Oryzias latipes: one gene and its partners. The protein of the gene in region 3 interacts with the protein of the main gene of each other region in a pairwise test. Links are inferred from orthologs where the notes say so. Each region holds a gene or a part of one and is shown on either strand. Other genes may lie near its edges. The genes, in order: lmo2, rbm41, rint1, dcx, sgf29, c4h19orf25 and sfr1.

Region 1 (4,227 bases), on a different chromosome or scaffold from region 3:
ATTACAACCCAGTTTCTAATTAAAGTTTTGAATCCACTTGTAGATATGAAGGCCTGACAAAAACAACTTACAACCTTAAAACAAAGTTTGTTTTGTTTTTTCTACAAAGTTCAAAACTATTCTTTGCATATTTAAGAATTTTTCGTACTTAAAACGTTTTTTGCATTTGGGAATATTTTCGTATTGCTGGTGTTGTTATTTCCACAGGATGGTGCAACACTACATTGTGTTCATTGTAGTCCCGATGTGTTGGTCGATAAAACCCATACGGGCTGCAAAAAGGGATTCTGTTCAGAGCCCACGCGATATTGGTTTGTTCCATCCCATCCTGAAAAGCAGTCAGAGATTCTGCTACACCATATTGCTGTTGTTGAGCTTAGTCCACTCGAAGATGTCCTGCTCACAGACAATGTCCGAGTTGATGAGAAGGTAGCGATCACCCACACAGAAGTGCTTCTGGCAGGCGGCGCATTTGAAACACTCCAGATGGTAGACCTTGTCTCGCACACGCATAGTCATCTCAAACGCCCGGATCCTCTTTTCACAGGAAGCACACAGACCGTCCTGACCAAACAGCCTGAGTGGAGCATGATCGATAAGGAAGACAATGTTACAAGAAGACATTCCAGCATCTCCATTCAACTGACTCACCAGAATAAAAGACAGTGCTCCCCTAATATCCCATTAGATCTGCATACTTCTTATAAATTGTTCAAATAAGGGAATAAACAGATAATCATTGACATCAGACCAACCTCAGATAATCCCGTCGACATAGTTTTCTTCCCAACTTGTAGTAGAGGCGACGGCCCACCTCTCCGAGACGACAGCCGCACAGGTCGCAGCTCAGGCAGTCCTCGTGCCAGTATTGCTCGATGGCTTTCAGGAAGAACCTGTCCCCGATGTTCTGCTGACAACCTCCACATGTCAGCAGGGAGGGGGGCATTTGCAGGACTTCGTCCACCGGCTCCCTGATATAAATGAAAAGAAGATTAAAAACAACTGGATTGAACTTTCATCATCTATGAATTCCCTGAAGATCGATCATAGTCTTCATTTATTGTAATTTAATTTGATTTTCCTCTTAGCTCAAAAAAAACAAACACATTTTATCCAATTGATACAATTTTCTTTTGAAAGTAACATATTCTATAAAATGTCATTATTAGTGCCCCGATAAATTCTATCTTTATCAACTGATTTGCAAAGGTTTATGCTACTATTTATGTTTTTGTCTTGTAGCTTGGAGCTGCAAGGTTGGAGAAGGAGCATATTTCAGATTAAAATACTAAATTAATACATTTGGAAAGTGTATACAATACAATTTGTTTTTTTGTACTGTTACAAGATTGTTTGCTCCCCTTTCTCACACTACAAACTATGGGATACTTATAGATACTTGATTGTAAACCTTGGTTTTAGACTTTCAAGATATTTTAACTGGTTGGAAATTGTTTTTATTTGTCTTTTGCTCTACACCTTTCCAAGATTTTCTTAAAATCTGTACAGTGGAAAACATTCCTATGTCTCATTAGGAACTAGTATGTAGAAATAAGGAAATTATTAATAAATTGAGTCAAAATCATTTTGCTCCAAATCTTAACAGAATAAAAACTTAATATATGACTCAAATGCACTGAAATTGTTGTGTTTTATGGTTCAGTTAGGATGTTATTTTTTAGTTTATTAAATGTAGACTGCCATTTATTGTCATTAAATTTCAAAACAAACATTTAGATTTATGTTCTAAGTAAATGTGCTAGATCGTATTCTGGTTTTGTTCACATTTTGTTCTAAAATAAGTCATTTCCATTTATTACACTCGTTTTTTTGGCACTGCAATTAAGATGAACTGCAATTAGTTTAAAAAAAATACAAACCATTTGCCTCAAACTATGACAAAAAATACTTATTGGGCTTTAAAACAATCAGTTTTCAGTAATTCTCTCTAATAGTTAGATTTTTTAACCCATTTTTCCCCCTTTTAGAATGCTACTGTGGAACTTCTTGTTTCAAGATTTTATTTTATTATGTTTTTTGCTATAAGATTTCTTAAGTAAAACTAACGTTCTGCATAGTTAATTGTACTGCTGTCTAGTGTGTTTTTTCCTGAAGATTAGTTTTTTTACTAAGCCTTTTGCATATTCCAGACCTTCTGTTTGTGGAATCTAACTGCAGAGGTTGCTTTCCTAAAATAACGTGCCGTTTGGTTGCTTTCTAAATTGTGATGACAATGTCCTTGAAAGCCTTAAGGAACCCTGAGCTTCATTCTTTGGAAAAGGAAAGCACATACTCGCTGGCCTCCAGCGTCTTCCTCTCTATGGTGGATACCATTCTTCTCCAGATGCGCTGCGCCTCAGCTCCGGGGTTCGGACTCCACAGCCTCTAGTCTCTCTGCGGCGTCCCGGGAAGCTCCTGCGCAGCCGCTGCACCTGCCTCTACCGGCGCCCAGATCCCCCCTGCACGACCTGATTCAGGAAGATGACTTCAGTCGAGATGTTCGCGGAGGAATAACCAAAAAGGCCGATTGTTCTAGTCAGCAGAGCGGCGATGGAGGACGCTGTCATCATTTCCTGGGGCTGACGCGCGCGCTGGCACCTCCACGCCATCCAGGACACCGCGGATTCGCTCACAGGCCAGGGGGGGTTAGACTGGAGCTGCCTTAAACGTGCGGATGACCCCCCACCCCATTCTGTGACTGACTGCTCTTTTTCCTGTTCACGACTGCCTGACAATGGGGGGAAATCGGTCTTAAAGCGACAGAAGTTCGCGCCGGCTGCTCTGTCAGGCGTGGAGCGGAGTCGTGACCGACACTGACGTGAGGGGAAATTCTCTCCCCCTGAGGCGCTGATGGAGCAAAGATAACCAACGTCGTGATGTCAGCAGACAAGTGTCCTGGCCCGCAGCTCCATCATCATGTAGAGAAAGTTATTAGGACAGAACAGAGAGCTGGATCCAAAACGAAAAACAGTTCAATAGAAAGTAAATAGTGAAAAAACCCAACAAACAGTTTGAACTGTTTATTAAAATGTTTAATATATAATGTGTGAAATGGGGGGGGGGGGGGGTGACAATTCATAATATATTTTCATTCAATTTAGTATAAAATGTGGATTAAAGGTGTAATTTGCTATATAGAATCAGATGTTTACATGTGTCATATTTTATCTCAAAACCATATTTTTTCTGAACTTTATTTTTTGCTTTATCGGAATTATCCCCTATTCGGTTAATGTTGTGTTAAATAAATGTGGCATCATTACTGTACAGAATTGGAAAAACAGGAGAACAAGATCTTGCTGCAGAGAAGCTGATCTACAGAGCCCTGGTTATGACATTAAAGAAAAAACAATTGCCAGACCATCTGAGTTACTTTACTATATTATATTTTTGATTAAGTGAGGGTAACATAAAGATGAAAATAAATTTATCAGAACTGTAACTACCCTTTTGGGGGGGAACAGTGGTTAGTGCTCTTGGTTGCAGCAAGAAGGGCCCCCAGTTCAAGTCCCGGCTGGGGGACCTGAAACAGAACACCAATGGGGGACCTTTCTGTGTGGAGTTTGCATGTTTTTCCCATGCATGCGTGGGTTTTCTCTCCGGACTCCGGCTTCCTCCCACATCATAAACATTTCATTGGTTACTCTAAATTGCCCCTAGGTGTGAGTGTGTGATTGAGGCCCTGCAACTGACTGGCGACCTGTCCAGGATTTATATTTATATTTATTTATATTTATTTATTTAATAAAGGCCAGCGCATATAAAGATGTCCCCTGCCTTTGCCCACAAGTGGCCGGGATAGGCTCCGGCAGCCCCGTGACCCCGAAAGAGACACACAAAAAAAAACACCCCAGAAAAAGCTAACTTTTTATTACTACTATTAACTTGATCTCTTTCACTACAAGAGGTTGTGAAAGACTAAGAGCATTTGACAAATGTCAAAGCATTTGACATTTAGCTTTCCTAGGAACTGTTGAAAAACATATAAGCAAACATGTGAGTCCACAGAAAAACATCACTGCTAAACTAATTTAACAGACTAACGGAGACTAAAACATGAGGTTTCTTAAAGTTTTAAATGGATCAGTTCAATTGACTGTTGCCTCTCTGTCCCTGATGGGTGAGATAATGTATGGCACTGTCGCAAACACAGAATTAACTAAAACTTGTTGTTTCACATAATAGAATATATAATTTGACACTTTGCCAAATTAAACATATTTCAAG
Region 2 (3,500 bases), on a different chromosome or scaffold from region 3:
GCTTTGCAGATTTCTAGATCAAATGTTGACTTTCATCTGATTGGTTCGTTCTTTGATGACCTCAAACTGTGGTTTCTGCTGGAAAGTCAGTGTCACTGGATTCAAACAACTCTGCAAAAAGGGAAACAAATTTCCTCCACACACCTCAAAAACTCTGGAGTTTGTTTGCAAAGACCGACTCGAGGAATTTTAGCGATAGATTTGAAATATGCAACTTTTAAAAGCTTCTAATTCTACAAACTTTAAAGTGACGCAGTCAAAAAAAAAGAGGTGGTTCTGCAGGTTTGAGATGGAAACGTGAGCAGATTAAGAGCTTGGGTTTTGGTTGCAGGTTCTGTGTGTGAAAAACGTCAGCACACATGCATCGCTGGCCCAGCTGGTGGCGCTGTTCTCCAGATTTGAGAAGAAAGACGCCGCGCCAATCCTTTACCGCCTGCTGACGGGTCGGATGAAAGGTCAAGCTTTCGTCACTCTGCCAGGTGAGCGTCTGCGGCGAGCGTCGGTCGGGTGACTTCCCCGCCAGAGCTGCAGAGGCAGAAACCAAGCTTCACTATGGAAAATGATGCAACAATAGGATGTCAAATACTTTAAATAGGAGTTTGTGGAGCTCCCATTTACTTCAGTAATACACTCTCTCACTGCTTCATTTAGTTTATGATTGGCTCTAACAGTGACGGGAACTACAGAACTTTTCTCCAAAGTTCTTGCTTTTTTCTGCCAGGAGCCCAGTGATGGTGTGAGGTCATGTGGCTCCTCCCTTTAGGGGCGCCACCTCCATCTAACCCTCTCCTCCACATCCATGACCCTCCTCTGTGTTCTTCCTCTCTTTCCCCATCATCCTCCTCCCCGGTCCTCCTCTCAAACCGCCTCCATCTGCTTCCCTGCATGGATTTCCAGAACATCCGTGATCTGTTCCTCTGATGGATTCAAGGATCCATCCTGGTCCCAAACAGAACCTCCGCCTCTTCATCTCCGCCTCCTTTGCTTTGGTCACACCTGAAACCTTCCTGCACCTCCTCACCTCCTTCTGGGCTGTTGATCCTCAGAGTCCTCCACCTCCTCCGCCTCTGCTCGCTGTAACCTCACCATTCCTCTGGCGTTCCTCTCACGCCGTCCCCCAGCGGCTGACCTTCATTCCTCTCCTCTCCGGAGCAAACCTCCACTTTCGGATTCCAGCGTCTGCACATGATGCGATCTTTCCGTGTGCTCTCCTTCCTCCTCCTCCTCCTCCTCCTCACCACTGGCATTTCCATTCATTCAGCAGCGTCCACTACCGTCTGTCATGAACTCCAAACTTCTCCCTCACTTCCTCTTCACCTGTTGCCTTCACTCAGACATCCGTTAAAGTCTGCTCTGGTTCCTGACGCGTCTCCCTGCTTTCACCTGGTCCTGGGGGCCGCTGCATGAAGGTGTTGGACTGTGCCCCCTTGTGGCTGCTTTGTTTGCAGCTCTTTTTTCTTTATTCTGCTAATCCAGTGCTTCTCAATTGATTTTTGCCAAGCCCCCCCCCCCCCCCCCCCCAGGAAAAAGAAAATGTTTCGCGCCCCTCTAACCCGCCACCCCCCCCATAACCTCCCCCCACCACAAACACACACACACACTCGCCGTGGTGACAATATATTAGGTTAGTATCTATAAAAACTGTGTAAGTATACCTAAATTGTATCTTTTAACTAACAAAAGAAAAATCCACTTTCAACAAATATTAAATTTATTTATCCACAGAAACTCTTTTTTAGTCTAAAACAGAAAAGAAGCCTAAAGTGCCTGAAATAAAAAAAATCTGTTATTATTTATTTATTATTATTATTATTAGTTATGTCCTTATTTAAACTGGAAACATTTTGACCAACTGAACTATTTGATGCTGAGAAAATATTTCAGTCAATACAAAATATTAAATGTAAATTGATCTGAATCATGAACACAGCAGCATTAATATATTTAATATTTTTAGTCTGAAAAAAAAGGTTAAAACAATTGTGCTGATTATTTTTCTAAATGATGATTGTTCATTCATGATCTCATAAAGTGCAGCTGTTTTCCTGCATTACCTGCTGTCTTTATGTCAAATACTGACACCAACTAAACCACAGGCAGACAAAGATACATTGATGGAAAATAAAGACACGCCATCAAAATGTCTACAATAGTTCATAAAGAATGAAGTTATTAGAATAAGCTTAGGAATCTAAAGGCACACCATGATCCTGGTGTTGGGCAACAGGCAGTGTTTGCAGCTCTCCACGTGCCCCGTGTCACCTTGCAGCCTTAGCCCACTGCCCCTCCCCTCTCTCTCTCACACACGCGTGTGACAGGAGACGGGAACACGCAGCTGCAGGGACGGGGATTCACAGCTTTCAGGCCGTTACAAACTCTGTGATAGAACAGATAATAGGAAACCAATAGTGGACCAGATTCTTGCCGCTGTCCCCCCCCCCCCCCCCCCCCCCCCATTAAATTTGCGCCCCGTACAATTGCCCGTGTTATCCGTGCATAAAACTGCCACTACTGCGTCCCCCCCCCCCCCCCCCCCCCCGGCATTGCACTGTGCTAATGGATTAGATGCATTAGATGTAAAAAAAACTGAGTCGGACTTCCTGACTTTATAACCAAACTAATTGTCGTGACATCAGTTCACCCACTAGGGGGCCTTTCAGGTTGGCCGTCTGCCTGTAACGGTTGAAATTCACGACAAATCTGGACTTAACTGCAGCCGGATTCCAGAAATTTTCTCCCCTCTGAAGTGAGATGAAACCTCCACCACAGCTGGACCGGCAGGAACGTTTTAGGAACCACTTTTCATTTCAAACCGTAGAATTTCCGTGGCTTTCAGTGGACGGACGGACGGCCCTCTAATCACTCCTTCTAGAACGGCGTTACCAGGCGCGGTCCTGCAACGGTCGGGGGTTTTGTTTGTCCCCTTTCTGAAAGGCGGGGCCACAATGGCGCCAAAGTCCCATCAGTTCATGTCAGGAATCAAACCATTTTTGTCTAAAAGGTTCACAGTGTGAACATTTTAACCCCAAAGCTAATGCAGAAAAACGTCCTTCACTCCGGACCACAGTGACCAGAACCGAGCAGAACTTTCTTGATGTGTGTGACCCTTCCTCGTGACTCAATCGGCGCTCCTCTGTGTTTGTTTTCCCCCGGCAGACACCGAGACAGCCCAGCATGCACTGCACTTGGTCCATGGATACCGGTTGCTAGGGAAACCTTTGGTGGTCGAGTTTGGCCATGAACGACAGGAAGAGAAGACGGAGGAGAAGCAATAAAAACACAAAAAGGAAATATTTCAACATGTTAAGCAGTTTTCACTGTTTTATCTTCTATTATGACTCAAATATCATTTGTGGTGGTGGGGGGGGGGGGTCCTATGGATGACTTTATCTGTGAATAAATGTTTTTAAAGAAATGATTTTGTTATTTTTCTGTGTATTTATGAAAGCATCTTTCTACATTTACATTCAGGAAATTCCCTCAATAACAAACTTGTCTTT
Region 3 (3,500 bases):
TTTAGTTTTCACCGTCTTTGACTCAGGTGGAATTACAGCATCAATGTCTGACTGTAGTTTGTTGTTAAAATGTTCAATCATACAATGCAGGTAAAATCTGAGCGGGAGTTTGGTGTAAAATATTGATCAAATTTGCAGCCACATCAGGAGTTATGTATCGTTTCCTCACAGTTCTCTCTGGAGCTTCATGTCGAGTAAAACTAGTGATATTAAAGAATACGCAATAGTGATCTGAAACAGGCATGTCAACAACAGAGGACACACTACAGACCATAGGTAATTAGTGTGCCCCCTGTTTTTATCTCCCCTGGTAGAAAATAAAAAGTAAATTTTAGTGGGGAAGCCTCAGTGAGAACAACAGGAGCATCAGTACCAAGCCAGGTTTCAGTAAAAAAAAGGCAATCTAAGTTGTTATCTAAGATGAGCTCATTCACAATAAAAGATTTATTTAAAAGAGAGCAAATGTTTTAAACAGCAAAGGTGAAAATTATGTGTGACTGCAGATGGACTTTTTCATCTTTTTTATCCGGTAAGGTGTGAATGTGACAGAGATATCTGACTGTGAAGCTGGTGGTTCTGAGCCGGGGGTGTTTCTGCTTATATGAACTGGGATGTGTTGTGTGATAGATGTGGCTCCAGCTTAAGATGGATTCTGGCGGTGGTCCAGTCCATGGTTTACATCACCATGGAAACACGAAGATGGTGCCCTTACACCTCCTCCTTAAGTCCTTTGTAACACCTACAGAACATCTCACCGCTGTCTTGCACGACCCTAACATTCTTCTGTCCCTCGAGACTTCCTCATGGAAATCCTCTCTGTAGATCCTGTCGTAGACTTTCTCTACATCTGCAAAGACGCATTTCAGCCCTACGTTTTCTCGTAACTTTTCAGTTTTATTCCTCTGTAGTTACTACAACTTTACACGCCTGCCTTCTCCTTAAAAATGGACACCCACCAAATACGGTTTTATGTTTGCATTTAGTCAGTTAGGAGACGTGTTGATCGTCATAAAGGTTGTCACTTGAAAGATCAGGATTGTCCGGCTCGTTTCTTTAACTTTCACCGCAGTGACGACTTCATTTCGCAGAGAACCTCTCACCAGCCTGTGCAGGTCTCGTCTCCACCTCCACCTCCACCTCTGGCCGTCTCCGTCTGTCTGCCTGTTCAGATCATGCTGCTGCCAATCTGCAAGAGGTTCCGATACCACTTCTATGGAAACCGGCAGACGAACTCCCTCAACAAGGTATCTGCACTAAAACCTCCTGCTGGGATTGTGTTCACACACCACCCAGAGCAGATTTAACGGAGACGGGAGATGAATAACAGAGAGAGCTTCCAAAAGACGTCAGCTCCCAGGAAAAGAGCACGAGTCTGTAAATATTCAACCCATCGTGTCAATGGGGTTTCATTTATGAGGGACGCTAATGCAAGTGGCAGAAAAGAGTTCAGTCATACAGGGCGGGGGGTGGGGTGGGGGGGGTCTCCTTCTAGACAGGGCGAGGGTGTTCATTGGTTCAAATTGAAAGTTGTAAAAACCTCGTACTGTGTTTGTGTCCCTCCTCAGCCAGAATGGTACCTCACACAGGCTCTGATCTGGATGGGCAGCAGCGCAGCCTTCATGGAGGAGAAGATCCAACCCGTGTTTGACCGAGCCGGAGCCGCCATCAGCGCCAGGGTACGAAGTTCCCCAAACAGAGACACGTTCATGAAGATGTTGCTTTTATCCTCAGTCAGTGAGATGATTCAACTTGAACAGTCAAAATTACTGCAGGAACAATAATGCTACCATACGTCTGTCTTTGTTGTCTTGTTAATATTATTACATTTTAGTACATTTTCATGGTTGTCTTCAGTCTCCTGTTTGTGTTGGAGCATAAAATGCAGCATGAACATTTTTGAAGAGAAAACTGACTGGATTTTAGGTTAGAGTTTCTGAGTGTTAGGAGTCTTTCTGGCTTTTAGCTCTTTGTTAAGTAAAGGTGAGGCCTATTTGTTGGTTTTTGGTTTGTAAAGCAGGTTAAAACTGTACAATGTCGCCCTGTTGTTTCAGCTGTGTGTGCTTTGTGTGTTCATGAATGCTGCTGATTGTTGTGCTTGTGGGTTTGTCTGTCGCTTTTGTGTGGATCACCTGTAGATGTGACTGAGCTTTTGTGAAACACAAAAACTCACACAGTTCACTTCTCTCACCTAGTAATATTAAGCTAAACCTCACCTGTGAGAGCGTTTCTGTGTGCACACGCGTGTGTGTACTCACTTGCGTGTGTTTGTATGGGAAAACACCTGTGTGTGTGTGTGTTTTTGCACCTAGGTTTTTTTGTGTTTGTGTGTGTGTGTGTGTGTTTTTGTGTGTGTGCACCTGAATGTGTTGGGGTGCACCTGTGTGTGTTAACACCGGTGTGTGTGTGTGCATACACCTGCGTGTGCATGCACCTTTGTTTGTGTGCATCTGACTTGAGTTTTTGTGCATACTCACTTGCGTGTATGAATGTGTGCCAACTACCTGTGTGTGTGAACCTGTGTTTGTGAGTCTGCACTGCTGTGTGTGTACAGACCTTCGTTTATGTTTTGGGAAAAAACACTTCTATGTGTGGGTGTTTGTGTGTGCAGTCCTTTGCATAAATATGTGTTATCTAACCTGTGTGTGTAAGTGGGTGTTTGCAGGTGGAGTTGTGTTGCGGCCTGGTGTCACCTGTGTGTGTTCACCGGTATTTGTGTGTCTGCACACCTGTGTGTGTGTATAAAGAACTTCGTTGGTGTGTGGACATACACACTTGTATGTATGCGGGTGTACTCCTGTGTGTGTTTGTGTGCACTCTAACCTGTGTGCGTGTGTGTTTGCAGGTGGAGTTGTGTCGCGGCCTGGTGTCTCTGGTCCAGGAGAAGGTGGCTGCTGATGCTCCCAGAATCCTGTATGATGATGCCCTCTTCTGCCACCTGGTGGAGGAGGTGCTGCAGTTTGAGAAGGAGCTTCGAGGCAGTCATTCCTACCCCTCTGCCCTCCCTGGACTGCTGCACATCCTGCTGGAGGACGCCGTCCTGCAGAAGTGGCTCGCTGTGGAGAAGAAGAGTGAGTTCTCAGGTGTTCCTGACTAAACGGTGGCTGGAGCAGCCTGAAAAAAGATCACAGTGACCTGAAATGCAAAATACTTTAAGTTGTAATTTATCTAAAGACAGGATGCAATATAGATTTAAAACAATATCAACATTGATTTGATGCTTTTTCTTCAAATATTGCAGCAAATAAATCTTGGTTTTTCTAAATGGATATAATGCTGATTATAATCATTGTAGTTCCACTTTTGTGTAGTTTTAAACTCTAAAACACTTTTTTTAAAGGAAAAACTGGTTTGGAAATGAAACGATTAAAACAGATTAAAGTAAAAGCAAAAAGACAAATTTCACTATTTCAATTCAGATTCAGTTTAAAAACGTTTACTTTAATTTTTTTATTTCTATTTTGAAATCAGTTTTGTTTCACTATAAAAAACAAAAAAAGAAT
Region 4 (3,500 bases), on a different chromosome or scaffold from region 3:
GCAAAATGAACAATGACAAAGCATTGTGTGCTTTTAGCCTAGTTCACTTGCTGAAAAAGAGCTCCGTCAATGAAATTATCCAAAAGTCATTTTCTACATGTATGTTATTTCCAACATTAAGCAACAGCTCTTACCCTATGCCACAACATTTACTTTAAATCTGAACTCCAAGTCTGCTGTGGCTGCCAAAACTTGCCAAAAATTAAACAAAGAATTGGAGCGTCTACACTCAGTTACCGCTTTATTAGGCACACCTGTCCAACTGCTCGTTAACACAAATTTTGAATCAGCCAATCACATGGGAGCAACTCATTGCATTTATGCATGTAGACACGGTTAAGATGATCTGCTGCAGTTTATACAAAGCTTAAGAATAGGGAAGAAAAGTGATTTAAGTGACTGAAACTGGCATGGTTGTTGGTGCCAAACAGCCTGTTCTGAATATTTCAGAAACTGCTGATCTACTGGGATTTTCACCCACAACCATCTCTAGGGTTTACAGAGAATGGTCACAAAAAAAAAGAGAAAATAACCTGTTAGCAGCAGTTCTGTGGGCAGAAATGCCGTATTGATGACAGAGGTCAGAGGAGAATCGTCAGACTGGTTCCAGCTGATAGAAAGACAACAGTAACTCAAATAACCACTGATTACAACTGAACTCTGCAGAAGAGCATCTCTGAATACACAACATGTCCAACCTTGAAATGGGCTGCAGCAGAAGACCACACCAGGGTCTCACTTCTGACAGCTAAGAACCAGAAACTGAGGCTACAATTCACACAGGCTCATTGGACAAACGTTGCCTGATCTGATGAGTATTTTTCCTGACCAAGCCCATCCCTTTATGACCCCAGTGTACCATCTTCTGATGGCTACTTCCAGCAGGATAACACGCCATGTCATAAAGCTGGAATTATCTCAGACTGGTTTCTTGAACATGACAATGAGTTCACTGTCTTCAAATGACCTCCAGTAGTGAGATGTGGTGGAACGGAAGATTGGCGTCATGGATGTGCAGACAACAAATTTGTAGCAACTGTGTGATGCAAGTTAAACATGTCTATTAGCTAAACACCCAAAAAAGTGTTTAACTTTACATGTAGGTCCAGCTATGCAGTTAAATGCCTACAGTGTCAAACAGCCAAAGAAGTGATTGATGTCCAGAACCACAAGAGACTCCTGTTGCAGTCTCAAAGGATGTAGACAATGAGATTTTCATGAACAAAGGTGTCTCAACAGTGTTCCCATTGACCTGCCACATCACTGTTGACTGAGGTTAACAGCAAACAGCGGCTCCTTTTTTACATATGTGGCCTTTTCCCTTTGCATTTACAGGTACCTAGTTTTCCATTTATTCTAATACTTGCCTGTCCTTTGTCCAGTAATCATTTATGAATTGTCCACAATCCCAGCAACATTTTTCCTTTGAAGCTGTTATGTTTACATGCTGTTTAAACCCAGCTTTATTTCCGTCTCCAAATAACAAAAAAAGCCTTTTAAATATAACCAAATCGATCAGCAGCTTCACACATCTTTCACCATGATTTGACAGGTAGGACTTACCTGTTTACCATCCAGTGTGTAGATCCTCTTGACTGCACCACTTTCAAGCTTGATGGCCTCTGTGATGTCAGTGAGCACCTGCTCAAAGGAGTGCGCCGTCTTCTTGTTGAGCAGGACACGGACAGCTTTGCGTGGCTTGACGCCGCTGCGCATCACTGTGACCAGCTTGGGCCGAACAAACTCCTTGTTTTCTCTGGGCTCGCTGGCAGCCTTGGCTGCTAAAGACTGCATGTTCTTCTGGCTTGCTGAGGCCTTCACATTCACAGACCAGTTGGGGTTGACATTCTTTGTGTAATCGACTTTCTTATAGAAGTTCTCTGAAGCACAAACATAGCTCTCCCCTGTGGTAAACATAATGGGTTAGTGTTGTAACTCAATCAGCTATTTGACACCAGAAACACTAAGCAACTTTTGACCTTTGGAGATACCAGTTAACCCAGAAGGGAAAAGAATTTTTATTTTATTTTATTTTTTTAATTAAATTTTATTACATTTTTTATTCTTCAAACTAAAATCGATTTTGCCTACAAAGTAGTTTTCAGTACAATAATAGGTTCAGATAAACCCAACCATTTTTGTTCCTTTGTTCAAAAAGTTTGTTCTCTCAGTAGTAGGCAGTGAAAGATTATAGATCATGGTACGTACACACAGGGCATGTGTGCGCTGAACAGGCATTCTTGAACATGCTTTAAGCATATCCTGTTCACACAGCTCTGTTGCAACCCAATACTCGCACATGTACTCACAGTTGGAAGAGACTTTGCGCAAAATATCGACGCTGTGCAAGTCTTGCTTCAGGTTTTTTCTTTCACAGCTCAATTCCGACATATGACAGACTGTCGTATAATTCCAGTCAAGCACAAACTGTAATTATTAATTTCTCCTCCATGATCGATTTTCAACCAATTGGCCGTTCTGTGTTTTGAAAAGAATCGTACTCGTACATCATCACCAAGTGCATCACTACTTAAAAACATAAGCAGTGACATGTGAACACTAGAGTTTTGAACGTGGAAGCTCAAAACGTGCATGTGCGTGAGTTTTTCATAAACTTCATTGGAAGCAGTTGCTCAAAAGCGCATTTCCAAGCCTGGTGTGAACGTAGCATCAAGAATAGATGTAAAATCTAGTACCTAATCACTTTGTTGGCTAGATACAGCTTTACAAATAACTTCATTGCATGCAAGTTTGTACTTTATGTTTTTCAGCATCATAGTTAATAAAGAACTATTCAAAAAAAATAATTCAACAAGCTAAGTCAACTCTTCAAACACTGCAAGAGAATTTTTGGCTGCTGAAACGGCTCCAAACAGAATAACTCAAAACCTTACAGTCCCATTTACGATACAAGAGTCTTTGAACAGATAATGTAAAAAACGTTTGTGTTCCATTGCAAAGTGCTAACCTTCTTCCAGCTCATCCAGGGTAGAGATCTTGCGGGATCCATCGATAGTAAAGATGAACCGGACGCCTTGTGGTAAATTGATGTGGTCAGAGAGGGAGCGCGTGAGGTCGGCAAGGAGAGAGTCAAAGGAGCGAAACCGGTCACTGGCCACGGCGTACACGATGCCCTTAAAGTAGCGGTCACCGTTGCGGTAGAAGCGCACCTTTTTGGCCTTCTTCTCATTGGTGAGAGCCTGCAGGGTGCGTGTGCGGTAAAAGCTGCAGTGGGCGCTGTGGGTTGGACTGGGAAGACCATTCATCCGGCCACCTCGAGGTGTACGAGAGGCCTTGTCCCTCTCATCAAAATGGCCAAAGTCTAACTCCATGATGGCTGACAGCTGTGATGGTTTAGACAGATGTGAGGCAGTGAAGAGCAGCGCCAGAGAGTCTGCAAGACGAATGAAATATTTAACAAAAATGTTATTTACTTAAGCTAGTTACTGATAATTACACATCTTCGTACATTAGAGTACCCTTTTTCATTATGTGCAGAA
Region 5 (3,975 bases), on a different chromosome or scaffold from region 3:
GAAGCGCTCAGAGCCTGGTCCGGCTGCTCTTACTTTTGTTCTCTGTCTGCATCCTCTCGTGGGTTTTCTGTATGTTGAGCAGGTTGTGTTCGCTGCGAGACCGCTCCTCCTGAAAACACAAACATCACAGGAGCGCCAAGGTCCAAAACCGTTTCAGAGGAACACCGGTTCTTCTCCAAAGCCCGGAGCCGTTTTAAAAAAAAACTTTATTTGTATTAGTTTTTGTTACATGAAAACAAAAAACAAAGGTCAATTCTAGGTGCTTCTTGTTTCTATTTGTTGTAAAGTGTTTCAGTGTCATCGTGCCTCCTGCAGTCTCAGTCTGTATCTTATAGTTTCTGTTGAATAGAAGTGGTTCTTCGTTAAAGTCCATTGCTCCTTTGATCGATTTAGTGCTCCAGTTCCTGGTTAATGATTTTTTAGCGGCTAGTGACAGAACTTTAAGTATTTGTCACTTTGGTGGACAGAGTTTCCAGAGATCATGTCCAAAAAAAACAGTTCTGGTTCCAGAGGAATTGGATATCCCACCCAGCATCACACATAAATCCATGAGACTGGTCCACATTCACACCAACAGCTCTGACTTGTTTTTAACTGTTTGTTTTTCAGTTTAGGTGTAATAAAAAATCCTATAAGGTTCTCCGGGCGAACTGTCTCCATGTTCATGATCCAGTGATGGGATGTTGGTGTCTCCACGTCTAACCAGTCCTGCTCAGTTATCTTTATGTTGAATTCTTTTTCAGTATTGCTGCTTTTTCCACATCTATACTTCAGAGAACTGTTCTTCTACGTTCTCTTTGGCCTCTTTTTCCAAGATTCAAGTTTTATTGCCGTTTGCACATGCGGTACATCGGAATTTTTCTTTGGCATCTCTCATGTCAGGATAAGTTAAAAAAGGACAAAAGAAAAATTTGAAGAAGAAATAATAAAGAAAATAAAAATAAATAGAATAAAGTTAAAAGTCAAAATTAGACAACAAATTTACATGGTGTATAAAAATATAAATATCAGTAAAATATGATAATGAATATTGCAGAGACCCAATCTGTACAGTAGCATTATTGCACATAGAATTATTGCACATATTATTGTTTATTGCACTTAGTAATTTAGTCCAGTCTTTCCTCTCTGGTGTCATTTGCCAGCATTCTGATTGCTGTTGGGAAGAAGCTGTTGTGGAAGCGTGTGGCGTGTTCATGGATGCTTTCAGGCCTGCGACGCCTGAGGTTGTGCCCTAAGTCCACACACTGGATCAGTCCATGAGCAGGGTGGTGTCTGTCTCTGATGATCTTAGTCACTCTCCTCCTGCAGCTCTGTTTGTAGATGGTGTCCATGGATGGTAGGTTGCAACCTATAATTTTTCCAGCTGTATTAATGACTCTCTGCAGCATCTTCTTCTCTTTGAAGGTGGTGTTACCGAACCAGGCTGTTAGTCCGCTGGTGAGGATGCTTTCCGCTTTCAGTTATATGCAAGCTTCTCCTGATGTTATCGTGTGTCTGCAGACTCTTCATGAATCCTGTCTGGTCTTCATCAAGAAGGTCAGGTAGAAATGTATTTATCCTGATACAAATGATGGATGTATAGATTTAGTAATCTATAATTAGCACATGACTGTTTGTTTTCCCCGGTTTTAAGATAACTGAAATAATTGCTTCTGACCAGGAAATAAGGATTTTATTCTTTGGAGGGTCCAGTTCAGAGATCTGTGTAAAAATGGAATAAGTGTGTTTTTAAATGTTTTATAACATTCAGCTAGGAAGCCGTTGCTGCCTGGTGATTTATTGTTTTCAGAGTGTTTATGGTTTTTAATATTTCCTCTTTTGTATTTTCAGCTGTGAGTATTTTTTAATAAATGGTAGATCTATATTTTTCAAAAAGTTTCTTTGATCTTGGTCACACGCTTAGAGAGGCTGGTTGTCCAGTTTTCTGGAGCAGGTTTGTTAGAAGAAACACAGAAACAGTCTGAACTGTAGAATATACCTCTCAGTTGCTGCCAGCACTTGTACCAGAACCAGGGAACCGGTTTAGGACTGATACTGGTTTCTGATCAGATCTACAGGTGATTCACAAACCCAACAGCTTCCCTTTAATCTGGAGTTACCTGAGGCTTTCATCAAGTCTACAGCCTCAACATCTCCTTGAGTGTCCAAATCATGCAGACCTGCGTTTGTTTACCTTCTCCAGGTGTCTGATGACGTCAGCTGTCGGAGCACGGCGGTTTTTAAGGCTCACCTGTGTCTGTTTGATGAGCTGATGGAGCTCCGTTAGCAGCTCTGCGATCTTCGTGTCTGCAGACATCTCTCACCTGTAAAAAAAAATAAAGGAAGAAAAAAACCTCACCTAAAAACGCGGCTGACACACAATTATCAATATTTGTTTAAATCTCTACAGGATGAACGATTATTATGCGAGAGTCTCAGATAAAACTGCATTTTCCGTTAAAATGGACACTTACGTTATTTGAAATCGAAAATGGACCAGAATAAATCCTAAAAATAAAAAAAAATCCTAAACGACTACGTCACACTTAGCATCGAAGCGTTAGCTGTGCTCGTTTGCAGCTATTTCCCCCCTAAATTAATTAAATTATTCCAAAGTTTATAAATAATTAACTTCGTCATTAAGTTTAGAAACACAAAAATGTCTAAATTATTGAAAAGATTCTGTCATTTAAACTCACCGTCAGCGATCGGTTTCTGTTTACTGTAGATATGCTAACTGCGGATTAGCCTCAGCTTCTTCTTCGTTGTTGAGGGTTCCCTGACTGACGCGCAGACGCCCCCACCTGCTGGTCAGACGTGGTACTGCACGCGCTCGAACGAGCTTCTCCCTCATTTGTTCTGGCTCACATGACCAGTTTAGAAATTGATTATATAGTTTCAAAGTGGAAATAACATTTTAAGTATTTTAAGTGATTGTATGCATTTATGTGATTCTCTATATATATATATTTTATATACATTATTGACTCCTGGCCTGAGGTTTCTTTAGTTTCTGGAACAGACACCTGCAGAATGCAGACTAGACTTACATCCTTGAATGACATAAGAGTCTTATGACCCATTTAGTATGTTTACATGTTGTCTTTCTGCTTTGGAGAAGAGAGAGGGCGGAGAACGACGAAGCGTCAAATAGTTTTCAGTTGTTCAGGTGGATCTAGACGGGTCATGTGATGGAAATGTCAACAATGATCATCAGAAAGGTGGATAGGGTCCCATGACTTGATCCTTGTCTAACAGGTGGGGGCTGTTAGTTTATTGTTGGTATATGGCTTGGCCATGTCATGAGAGTGGATGCAGGCTGCATCCCTAAAGACCTCTATGGCGAGCTGGTCAAAGGCTATAGAACAAGAGGGCGTCCAAAACAAAAACGTCTGGAGGACACGAGGCGGCGCTTCATTGAACCCAACACATGGGAAAGTCCAGCAGACGATCGCCCCATCTGGAGACTCAGTCAGGCAGGGAACAACAGATGCAGAGGCCAAGCGGAACGAGAATGCTGCACAGAGAAGAACCAGGAGGAAGCGGCGGCTGCAAGAGCCATCATCCTTCACCTGTACCAGGTGTGGCAGGGACTGCCATTCCACAATCTACCTGCACAGCCATTCCCGGCGGTGCAGGTAGATTCAACAAGGAGCTACACCATCGTCTCTCCAGACGGACGGCTGCAGACGATGGACGGATTCTCCAAGAAGACATTTTTTCACAGGATGCAGAATGAAAATCACATGTGATTTTACTACAAAGCGTTTGATGTGAAGATCAGAAACGGATCAGGAATCGGACCAACCAGCAGTTTCCTCAGACCGCCATTAAAATGTGGTTTACAGACCGTCCCCTCATTCTGTGAATGCAGACTCATGAGTCTAGTTATGGAGGACGGCGTCATCGTTTTATTCAGGGACCCCCCCAGTGACAGACAGACAGCAGTTCATTTAAAAAACACCTTTAATAGTAAAAAATGAAAAAGACTTT
Region 6 (3,465 bases), on a different chromosome or scaffold from region 3:
ATGTCTAAAACATCCGTCTGAGCTGTTTCTTCCTCAGCAGATGCAGTAAAATGACTGTAAATGGACAAACGTGAGTAAAAGCAACACTTTAGCAGCTTGAACTTGTCATGACAAATAGATTAACAAACGTCTGCAGCTCTTCACCGCCGCTGTTAACTGCCTCGTTCAAGACAGGACGGGATCAAAGTTTGTAGCCGAGTCAAATTCCCACCTGTAAGTGTACCAGGCCACATTGGTCACTCATTTGAAAAAGACAGGTTGTGTCATTATAAATGCCATCATCTAATAAAAGTGGTGTTTTCTTAAAACCATTGTGTTGGGCTTTTATTTTATCAAACACCCAGGTTACTTTTTTTTTTACACCATTTCTTCTCCAACCCAAACAACTATAAGGTTCTAGAAGGCTTCTGTAAAGGTGTTTCCATGAAAACACAGATTGTTCTACAAAATGTTTTATAAAAACAAATTTTTTCAAAATAAATGAATAAAATATCTACAAATTAATTAGTTCCATTTTTATTTCTTGTCTCTGTTTTAACACGATAGCATTAAAAATCAAAAAGTAGATTCTGTTTTCTTGTGTTCAGAAAAATTACTACAAGTAGATTAAATAAAACAGAAATGAAAACCCTAAACCTTCTGTACATTCACTTGAAAACAATTGTTGAGAACCTGGGTTAATATATTAAAAAAACAAAAAAAAAAAGCTCATATCAGCTTTATGAATATAGCAGCCCAAACAAGTACACACTGACACAGCTGAATTCCTCTGCGACTGGAGAAGGGATGCAGAAAGTCGCGATTCAGCCTAAGGAACATTTCCCTTTTTCCAGTTACTCTTCAAGATTGATTCATTTCTTGAACTGATAATGACTTTCCCATTCCAAACCACTCATTTTCAGCTTGTTGGCACCGCAGTAACAGTTCAGTATTCAGTTCGGGATTATAGAACTTGGCCTTTGACCTCAGCCACCTTGCTGTCCAGCCGCTCCCCTGCCGCCTGCAGCTCCCCCCTCTGCGTCTGGAGCTGACCCTGAGCATGTTTCAGGCTCTCATTGAGCTTCAGATACTGCCGGCACTGCTGGAACCTGAACTCCACCTCGCTGTCTGCAGGCAGGGTCGGATCTAGAGGCCGAAAAGCACACAACAAACATTCACTCAAACATTAAAATCAAAGTCCCATCATTCGCAGGCAAAATAAAGTGGTCAACTTTATTTTGGGGGACAAAGACTCGCCTTCTCCAGTTTTCTCCAAGATGCTGAAGACTGGGTCATTTGGAGCTGCTCTGCTGATGTCCTCCAGGATCTGATCCACACTGGGGGGTTCGGGGCGGGTGGGCAGCACCACCCGTTTTTTGCCTTTCGATCCGAGGTTCATTACAACAAAACTGACTCCAACTTCTGAAATACAAACCAAGATGTTCTGCAAGAAATACCCTCAAAATGTACATTTATACAGAACCTCTGCATTAATCAGAAATTTCTTTTATGATCTGCTTAGTATCAATAAGTCTGTAGATAATTAATTTAAACATGTAGCATTTCTTTATTTGTGCTTATTCTTCTTAAAGAGCTGCAGAGGTACTGGAACTGAGTTTCCCATTGTTGGGATTAATAAAGTTCGTCCATTCATTTATTCATCAGTGTGGAGCCACCAGATAGGTTTTTAGTGATGTGATGAGGCTAAATAGCAGCCAGAAATCGTTCACAGCCGAAACAGTGTTTAAAATTGCAGAAAGAACTGAGAAAGTTCTGCAAGTTTTTGCATATTAAAACTTCGAAAATATTTTTAAGGATTTAATTTCAGATACAGGGAAACCAGCATTAGGCTAATCTGCTGACAAATATAAACAGCGACGAGTAATTAATCTGAAAGACACGTTTAAGAACCACAACGATGAAAAAGTTTCTCAGTCGATATTTTCAAAACATTTACATTTTTAATAAGAAAAGAATGGCGTAAAGTTATACGTTATGCATTTTGTAAGAGGTTTTAGTTGTATCAGAAAAATGGTCTAAAACAAACTCGGGATTAGTTTCAAAAGTAAAGATTTTAAAGCCTTACCGAGACGGATGCAACTGTTGTCAATTTCGGTCCCTCAACTGCATCTTGGGTCTCAAAACTGGCGTGATATGTGCACAAATATCAACAAGAGCCGAACATGAACGCGTCACGTCAACAGTGAGCACCCCCAGCGCATGCGCAGGCTCTCGCAAACTGACATCCGGTGCCAACCATCCTTGAGGTGCATTGTCTCCCCCTTCAGGTTTGGAGTGGCACCTGCACCAAGAACTGAGCTTTTTTGTTATATAAATAAATAAATAAATAAATAAATAAATAAATAAATAAATAAATAAATAAATAAATAAATAAATAAATAAATAAATAAATAAATAAATAAATAATATGATTCATGTTGGTAAATTTAATTGAAATAATAAACAGAAAGATGAAGTCAGTAAGGAAAAGTATTAATGTCACAATAAAGTTCACATAGTTTGTAGTTTATATTTAGTATATTTAGTATATTTCATAAATAATTTGAAATGTAGTTTTAGATTGAAACCTTTTTGCGAAACTTCAAATTTAGCAAGCTAATGTAGCAAACTGGCAAACTACAAAACGATCTGCGGGTGGTGCTAAAGATTACCCCCATAAAAGAAAAAGTCCTGAGGCCAAATAAAAAACAGCAGATAAAGCAATTCTAAGGGTCATTTAATTTTTTATTCATTTAATTCCTCTTTATTATTCATTTAATTCCTCTTCATTTCAAAAAAAGTGAGCAAGTACAAAGACTTTTTTTTAAGTTGCACTTGCGTGAAAATATTGGTGAATAAAAAGTAAACATTTATTTGCTCTGAATCCTGGATTTGAAAAGAAATTAAATAGGCCAGATAAGGTAGACAAATGAAATATTCATCTATCTCCTTGTCCAGCTTTATCCTGTGGTGAGTCATTGAGGGGGCTGGAGCCTATCCCAGCTTCCTTTGGTTTGGGAGGGGGGCAAATAACCTGGAAATGTTGAGGGGTTCATTTAGGCTGCCACACTCAATCCTATGCTCAGAAAAATGCTGCAACTCCACAACAAAAGAAGAAAGCTGGGATTTGAACCAGACACTTTTTGCAGCACAAATAACTACATGCAGAATTTGAATTTCTTCTCAAATCACGTAAGCAAGACAAAAACATCTAGAGATCACACCCACCTTAAAAGTGTGTCGTACTCTGCAATATCTAAAGAAACAAAACATTTCTGAAAAATGTTCGATTTTGACAACATTCTGCAACAAAAACCTGTAAGCAGCAACAAAAACAACACTTCAAAAGGACAGAGTTCACATAGTTTTGTTTTAATCAGAACGTTTTGAATTCTAAGATTGTTTTCATCAAGATGGAACAAGTAAAAATGTAACAACAGAGATTCTCTACATCCTTAAGGTAGATGGTGATCTTTAACAAGTTTC
Region 7 (3,974 bases), on a different chromosome or scaffold from region 3:
AACAGAAAATTGTTCCCATCTCCCAGTGCAGATGAATGATCTTTTATAGGAGACTCACACCCTTTTTAATTGACTCAGGGTTTTTTCCCCCTTCATTTGCTGAACTTAAACCTCTTTCAGTAGGCATGTCACTTTCTTTTATATCATTTTTTCAAAATCTGACAGATTGGTTTGTTTAATCAAATATAAGACAATTTATTTGACGATATGTAGCTTTTGGACACAGTCTAAAAGTTAAAAATAGTTTTGAAAGTTTGAGGACAAACACAAAAACAGACCAACTAACTAATTTTTGGCTTTATTTTTTAACAACCCAGAGGGTAAAATGGTAAGTTTCCAGGCTGCATTGCCAGTTTTCTTTGGCAGCAGGTACAGGTAGCTCAGCAGCTGTGCAGCGTTCGCCTTCCTGACATTGTTTGAACCCCATGAGAGAAATTTTGAATGTAGATAGATCTAGGCAGAGTGAGGTTTTACATTGCATGACAAATAGCTTTGCTGCATGTGTTTCAAAAGCCTTTATTGAACATTTGAGAAGAAGGGAGAAGCAAAAATGTATGAAACACTGTTTTTAATTAATGCGTTTCTCTTTTTTTATTTCCAGCGTTACAGCGAGTCAGAACAAGGCACTCGCATTTCACAGAAAGCGTCCATGTTGGAGAAAAACCTTGCTTTCATGACGGAGGTGACATGAAAAGTGACAAAGCAACGATAAACCAGCCTTTTTATGCTTTTTTTATGAACAACTCTGTTTACTTTTTCAGGCTCATCAACAGTGCATCCAGCAGTGTGTGAAGGAAATCGAGCAGCTTTATAAACAAGCTGACGTGAAAAGCAAAAAGACTTCTACTCTGGAGCTGCAGCTTCCTGACATACGGGTGGACGTGGCGCAGCTGAGACACGTCTCTGAAGCTGCAGGTTGGTTTCTGATCGACAAACATTCGCCAAACGCCGATTCCGTCATCCCAGACAAGCATAAATATTTATCTGCTTTTATTTTGGTTGTTTAGGCCCTGAACAAGAGCAAGCAAAAGCCAAAGAGCGGCACCTGGAGCTTGCTGTGAAAAGCAACTTGAAGGCTCTAGTCAAAGCTCAGGCTGAGGAACTGACAGTCCTTTTAGCGGAAGTTGAACGTCTAACGAAGAAGAACTTCACTTCAGTCTATCAGCTGAAATACAGCTGAGTGAAACATTTTTTTTTGTTTCTTAACTGAGCAAAAAGTTCTCTGTACATTAAATGTGCTTTTGCTGTGAAGAACCTGCAACAAATAAAGTGATTAAGAACCACTTAATCTGCTGGTACTTAAGTCGTAAAATAAAAAAAAACAGAAACAAAAAAAAAAACATGTTAAGTAGTGAAGTCCTCCTCCGGGCGGTCAAAGTGCAGAAAGTGATCGTCCAAACCAAAGAGGTCTATAAGCTCAGACAGATTCGCCCTTCGTCCGTCCACAGTGACATCTGACTGGAGTTCATACAGCGCGTTCTGGGAGCAACGCCTCCACTTGTCGATCAAAGTTTGAAGCTGGGTTAAATCATTCTAGGGGGAAAGACCAGAAAAGTGTTACGGCAAAGCAAAACGGTGATCCCCTGAAGATGTTTGAAAAATGGCTGGTACCTTGCTTCTGTACATCTTTACCATCTTGAGTCGACGTAGAGTCTCTGTTTTTTCTTTGACTTCTTTCCTGAGGTGCTGTAAAAAAGCTTCAGGCGTCTGCTCACTGCCTGACTGGGCTTCCCTTTTGTTGTCATTGAGTGGGATTTCTGCAGGCTGCCTGACAGCCTCCTTGGAGTCTGCTGACATGTGTGGCCCTTCATCCTCTGCATCGTCCACACAAAGGCGTTTGGCCACAGAGACAGGAGAAACAAAGGAGCGTCTGGATCTTTTCAATCTTTCCCTCAGCGAAGTGCTGAGCTTTGAAAAACACTAGGATGATACGAGGGGAAAAGAAAAAAAAATCACAGATGGAGTATTAAGGCCAGCATAAAAAGAGAAAAAAGTTAACATTTTACAAGAATAAAGTCATACAAATATTAGAAAAAAAAAATCTACATTATATAACTAAAAAATATGTAAAATTATGATTTAAAAAAATTATACATTTACATGAAAAAGTCGTACTTTTTCGAAAATAAAGTTGTACATTTACAAAAAAAAATCGATTAATTCGCTATGACATGATTTAAAAAATCTAAAATGTAACATTTTAATTTCAACACGCGTGACTTTTTACTTATAAGATGTAGACTTTTTGAAGCATAAATTTACAACTTAAGAGCTATTTTTTTTACTCATAATTGCATAACTTTATTGCCGTAAAATTTTCCCCTCGGCGTCTCTTTAGACTTTTTCTTTCATGGTGGACCTAACACTACGTCGTATGTAGTGCACCACACATCCCATTCAGTCACCTACTTTCTCTTCTCTGTATCCCGAGGGGGTCGACTCTTCTGGGCAGCAGGGTGATGAATACTCGTGTTTTGGAGTGACTTCCATCCGTCAGATTTAGCATGAAAAGTCTGTTTAGCTGCGAGAATAGCCTAGCTTAAAGTTGAGAAAACGCTCAATATATCTGACTCGGCTGAAATAAGAACGAAAAAAATTAGAGGCACTATAACAAAGTATTATAAACCATATTGAATTTTTATCAAAGACATTTCCATGTGGAAAAATTAAGCTGAGGCGATGACACCACAGTTGATCTTGTTTTTCCGTATTTTTGCGGTTCTAAGTCCTGAAGATCAATGATTGGACAGAAACTGATTACGTTTAGCCGAAGAGGATTCTGGGATATGAAGTTATTCCTCAAACGCAGTCGCACATTTAACTTGTTGGCTTTAAGATGGAATAATTTTACTTAAACATCATATTTAAATGTACATATATATAAAAAAAATATGAAAAAAAGAGAAACAAAATAATATGTGGCCTTAAATTTTTTTGTGTGCACACAATTTAGCATTTTTTTGGGCAATTAATTTGTAATTTATAAGCATTCTGTGTCCACAGTATACTTATTTGTTGGCACAAAATTCTAATTAATTCATAGGCCTACATAATAGCCTGCTAATTTGTGCACACACAATTTCTAAGCCAACAAATTTGGCTAGTACAGTAATTTGAATTATTTGTGTTCACAAAACAGTAACTTTTGCCTACAAAATGTTAATAAAAAGCAAAATTTTGGTCACGAGATGCAAATTTGTGTGAACGCAATAAAAAAATTCGAATTTGTGTGCACAAATTGTTAGTTTGAAGGAACAGTTTTTATTTATTTATTTGAATGTCATGTCTATTGCCCTGTAAAAATATGTTAATGAACAGAATTTTCTTTTTTTGATGAATTGCTTCATGGAGAAAACAACATTTTTTTATAAAAAAACACAAAGGAAGTTTTTTCACACATGGGATTAAGTAGCTTGTTTCTTCTTATGAAATTTGATCAATACATATTTTTAATAAAATTAAAAAATTGTTGGTAAACTATTTGTGTTTACATAAGACACATTTAAATAATTATAATTTAAGTAGTTTAATAATCAAGTCAGGCAAAACAACTACCATAGCAATGGGAAAGAGTGTTTTGCTCCAAAATTCAGAATATTGTTAAAGAGATTTTTTTGTGTGGTGGTTATCTGGAGTTGATTCATGTTGTGATTCACCTTCCCTCATTAGCTGATTCATCGGTTTTATAAGTCTATAGCTATTTTAATCTTCTCACAAATGTGGGATGGTTCTCTTATTGTGTGTCAGCCTTTATAGCCACGAGGAGAAAGCTGTTATACCTTCAAATGTGGTTGTGCCCGGACACGAACATTAGCAACTCATTTGGCAGTGTGATATTACACACCCCAGGGAACAAGAGATTTTTTTTAATACTCCTTGTAAGGACAACTGAGGGAAGGGTAATTGCTATTTGTGTAAGTTAATGTTTTTTGCGTGTAATTTTTGCTTTGTGAAGTCGGCATTAACCGTGGCAT

The links.
Region 1: the proteins of rint1 (region 3) and lmo2 interact in binary tests that used the Homo sapiens proteins (3 or more experiments, as listed by UniProt). The two-hybrid records come from large-scale screens. The link is inferred for Oryzias latipes from reciprocal best matches to the Homo sapiens genes RINT1 and LMO2.
Region 2: the proteins of rint1 (region 3) and rbm41 interact in binary tests that used the Homo sapiens proteins (3 or more experiments, as listed by UniProt). The two-hybrid records come from large-scale screens. The link is inferred for Oryzias latipes from reciprocal best matches to the Homo sapiens genes RINT1 and RBM41.
Region 4: the proteins of rint1 (region 3) and dcx interact in binary tests that used the Homo sapiens proteins (3 or more experiments, as listed by UniProt). The two-hybrid records come from large-scale screens. The link is inferred for Oryzias latipes from reciprocal best matches to the Homo sapiens genes RINT1 and DCX.
Region 5: the proteins of rint1 (region 3) and sgf29 interact in binary tests that used the Homo sapiens proteins (3 or more experiments, as listed by UniProt). The two-hybrid records come from large-scale screens. The link is inferred for Oryzias latipes from reciprocal best matches to the Homo sapiens genes RINT1 and SGF29.
Region 6: the proteins of rint1 (region 3) and c4h19orf25 interact in binary tests that used the Homo sapiens proteins (3 or more experiments, as listed by UniProt). The link is inferred for Oryzias latipes from reciprocal best matches to the Homo sapiens genes RINT1 and C19orf25.
Region 7: the proteins of rint1 (region 3) and sfr1 interact in binary tests that used the Homo sapiens proteins (3 or more experiments, as listed by UniProt). The two-hybrid records come from large-scale screens. The link is inferred for Oryzias latipes from reciprocal best matches to the Homo sapiens genes RINT1 and SFR1.

The regions. Positions count from the first base shown.
Region 1 is NC_019864.2:14,855,688-14,859,914, forward strand, and holds the start of lmo2 (rhombotin-2), read right to left. Parts: upstream 2,801-4,227; 5' UTR 2,335-2,800; coding exon 2,294-2,334; intron 972-2,293; coding exon 756-971; intron 578-755; coding exon 352-577; 3' UTR 1-351. UniProt on the Homo sapiens protein: Acts with TAL1/SCL to regulate red blood cell development. Also acts with LDB1 to maintain erythroid precursors in an immature state.
Region 2 is NC_019872.2:28,310,418-28,313,917, reverse strand, and holds the end of rbm41 (RNA-binding protein 41), read left to right. Parts: intron 1-331; coding exon 332-479; intron 480-3,156; coding exon 3,157-3,275; 3' UTR 3,276-3,307; downstream 3,308-3,500. UniProt on the Homo sapiens protein: May bind RNA.
Region 3 is NC_019881.2:11,295,945-11,299,444, forward strand, and holds part of rint1 (RAD50-interacting protein 1), read left to right. Parts: intron 1-1,069; coding exon 1,070-1,244; intron 1,245-1,565; coding exon 1,566-1,676; intron 1,677-2,842; coding exon 2,843-3,068; intron 3,069-3,500. UniProt on the Homo sapiens protein: Involved in regulation of membrane traffic between the Golgi and the endoplasmic reticulum (ER); the function is proposed to depend on its association in the NRZ complex which is believed to play a role in SNARE assembly at the ER.
Region 4 is NC_019872.2:14,750,330-14,753,829, forward strand, and holds part of dcx (neuronal migration protein doublecortin), read right to left. Parts: intron 3,395-3,500; 5' UTR 3,333-3,394; coding exon 2,969-3,332; intron 1,905-2,968; coding exon 1,564-1,904; intron 1-1,563. UniProt on the Homo sapiens protein: Microtubule-associated protein required for initial steps of neuronal dispersion and cortex lamination during cerebral cortex development. May act by competing with the putative neuronal protein kinase DCLK1 in binding to a target protein.
Region 5 is NC_019866.2:654,406-658,380, reverse strand, and holds the start of sgf29 (SAGA-associated factor 29), read right to left. Parts: upstream 2,801-3,975; 5' UTR 2,682-2,800; exon of another isoform or gene 2,457-2,681; intron 2,307-2,456; 5' UTR 2,300-2,306; coding exon 2,234-2,299; intron 110-2,233; coding exon 34-109; intron 1-33. UniProt on the Homo sapiens protein: Chromatin reader component of some histone acetyltransferase (HAT) SAGA-type complexes like the TFTC-HAT, ATAC or STAGA complexes.
Region 6 is NC_019862.2:22,306,367-22,309,831, reverse strand, and holds c4h19orf25 (UPF0449 protein C19orf25 homolog), read right to left. Parts: upstream 2,225-3,465; 5' UTR 2,066-2,224; intron 1,402-2,065; 5' UTR 1,379-1,401; coding exon 1,237-1,378; intron 1,126-1,236; coding exon 944-1,125; 3' UTR 501-943; downstream 1-500.
Region 7 is NC_019873.2:20,002,453-20,006,426, reverse strand, and holds sfr1 (swi5-dependent recombination DNA repair protein 1 homolog), read right to left. Parts: upstream 2,746-3,974; 5' UTR 2,491-2,745; coding exon 2,410-2,490; intron 1,921-2,409; coding exon 1,612-1,920; intron 1,534-1,611; coding exon 1,345-1,533; 3' UTR 1,181-1,344; coding exon of another isoform or gene 1,008-1,180; 3' UTR 916-1,007; coding exon of another isoform or gene 762-915; 3' UTR 683-761; coding exon of another isoform or gene 602-682; 3' UTR 501-601; downstream 1-500. Other genes in the region: cfap43 (cilia- and flagella-associated protein 43), read left to right, coding at 602-682, 762-915, 1,008-1,180. UniProt on the Homo sapiens protein: Component of the SWI5-SFR1 complex, a complex required for double-strand break repair via homologous recombination. Acts as a transcriptional modulator for ESR1.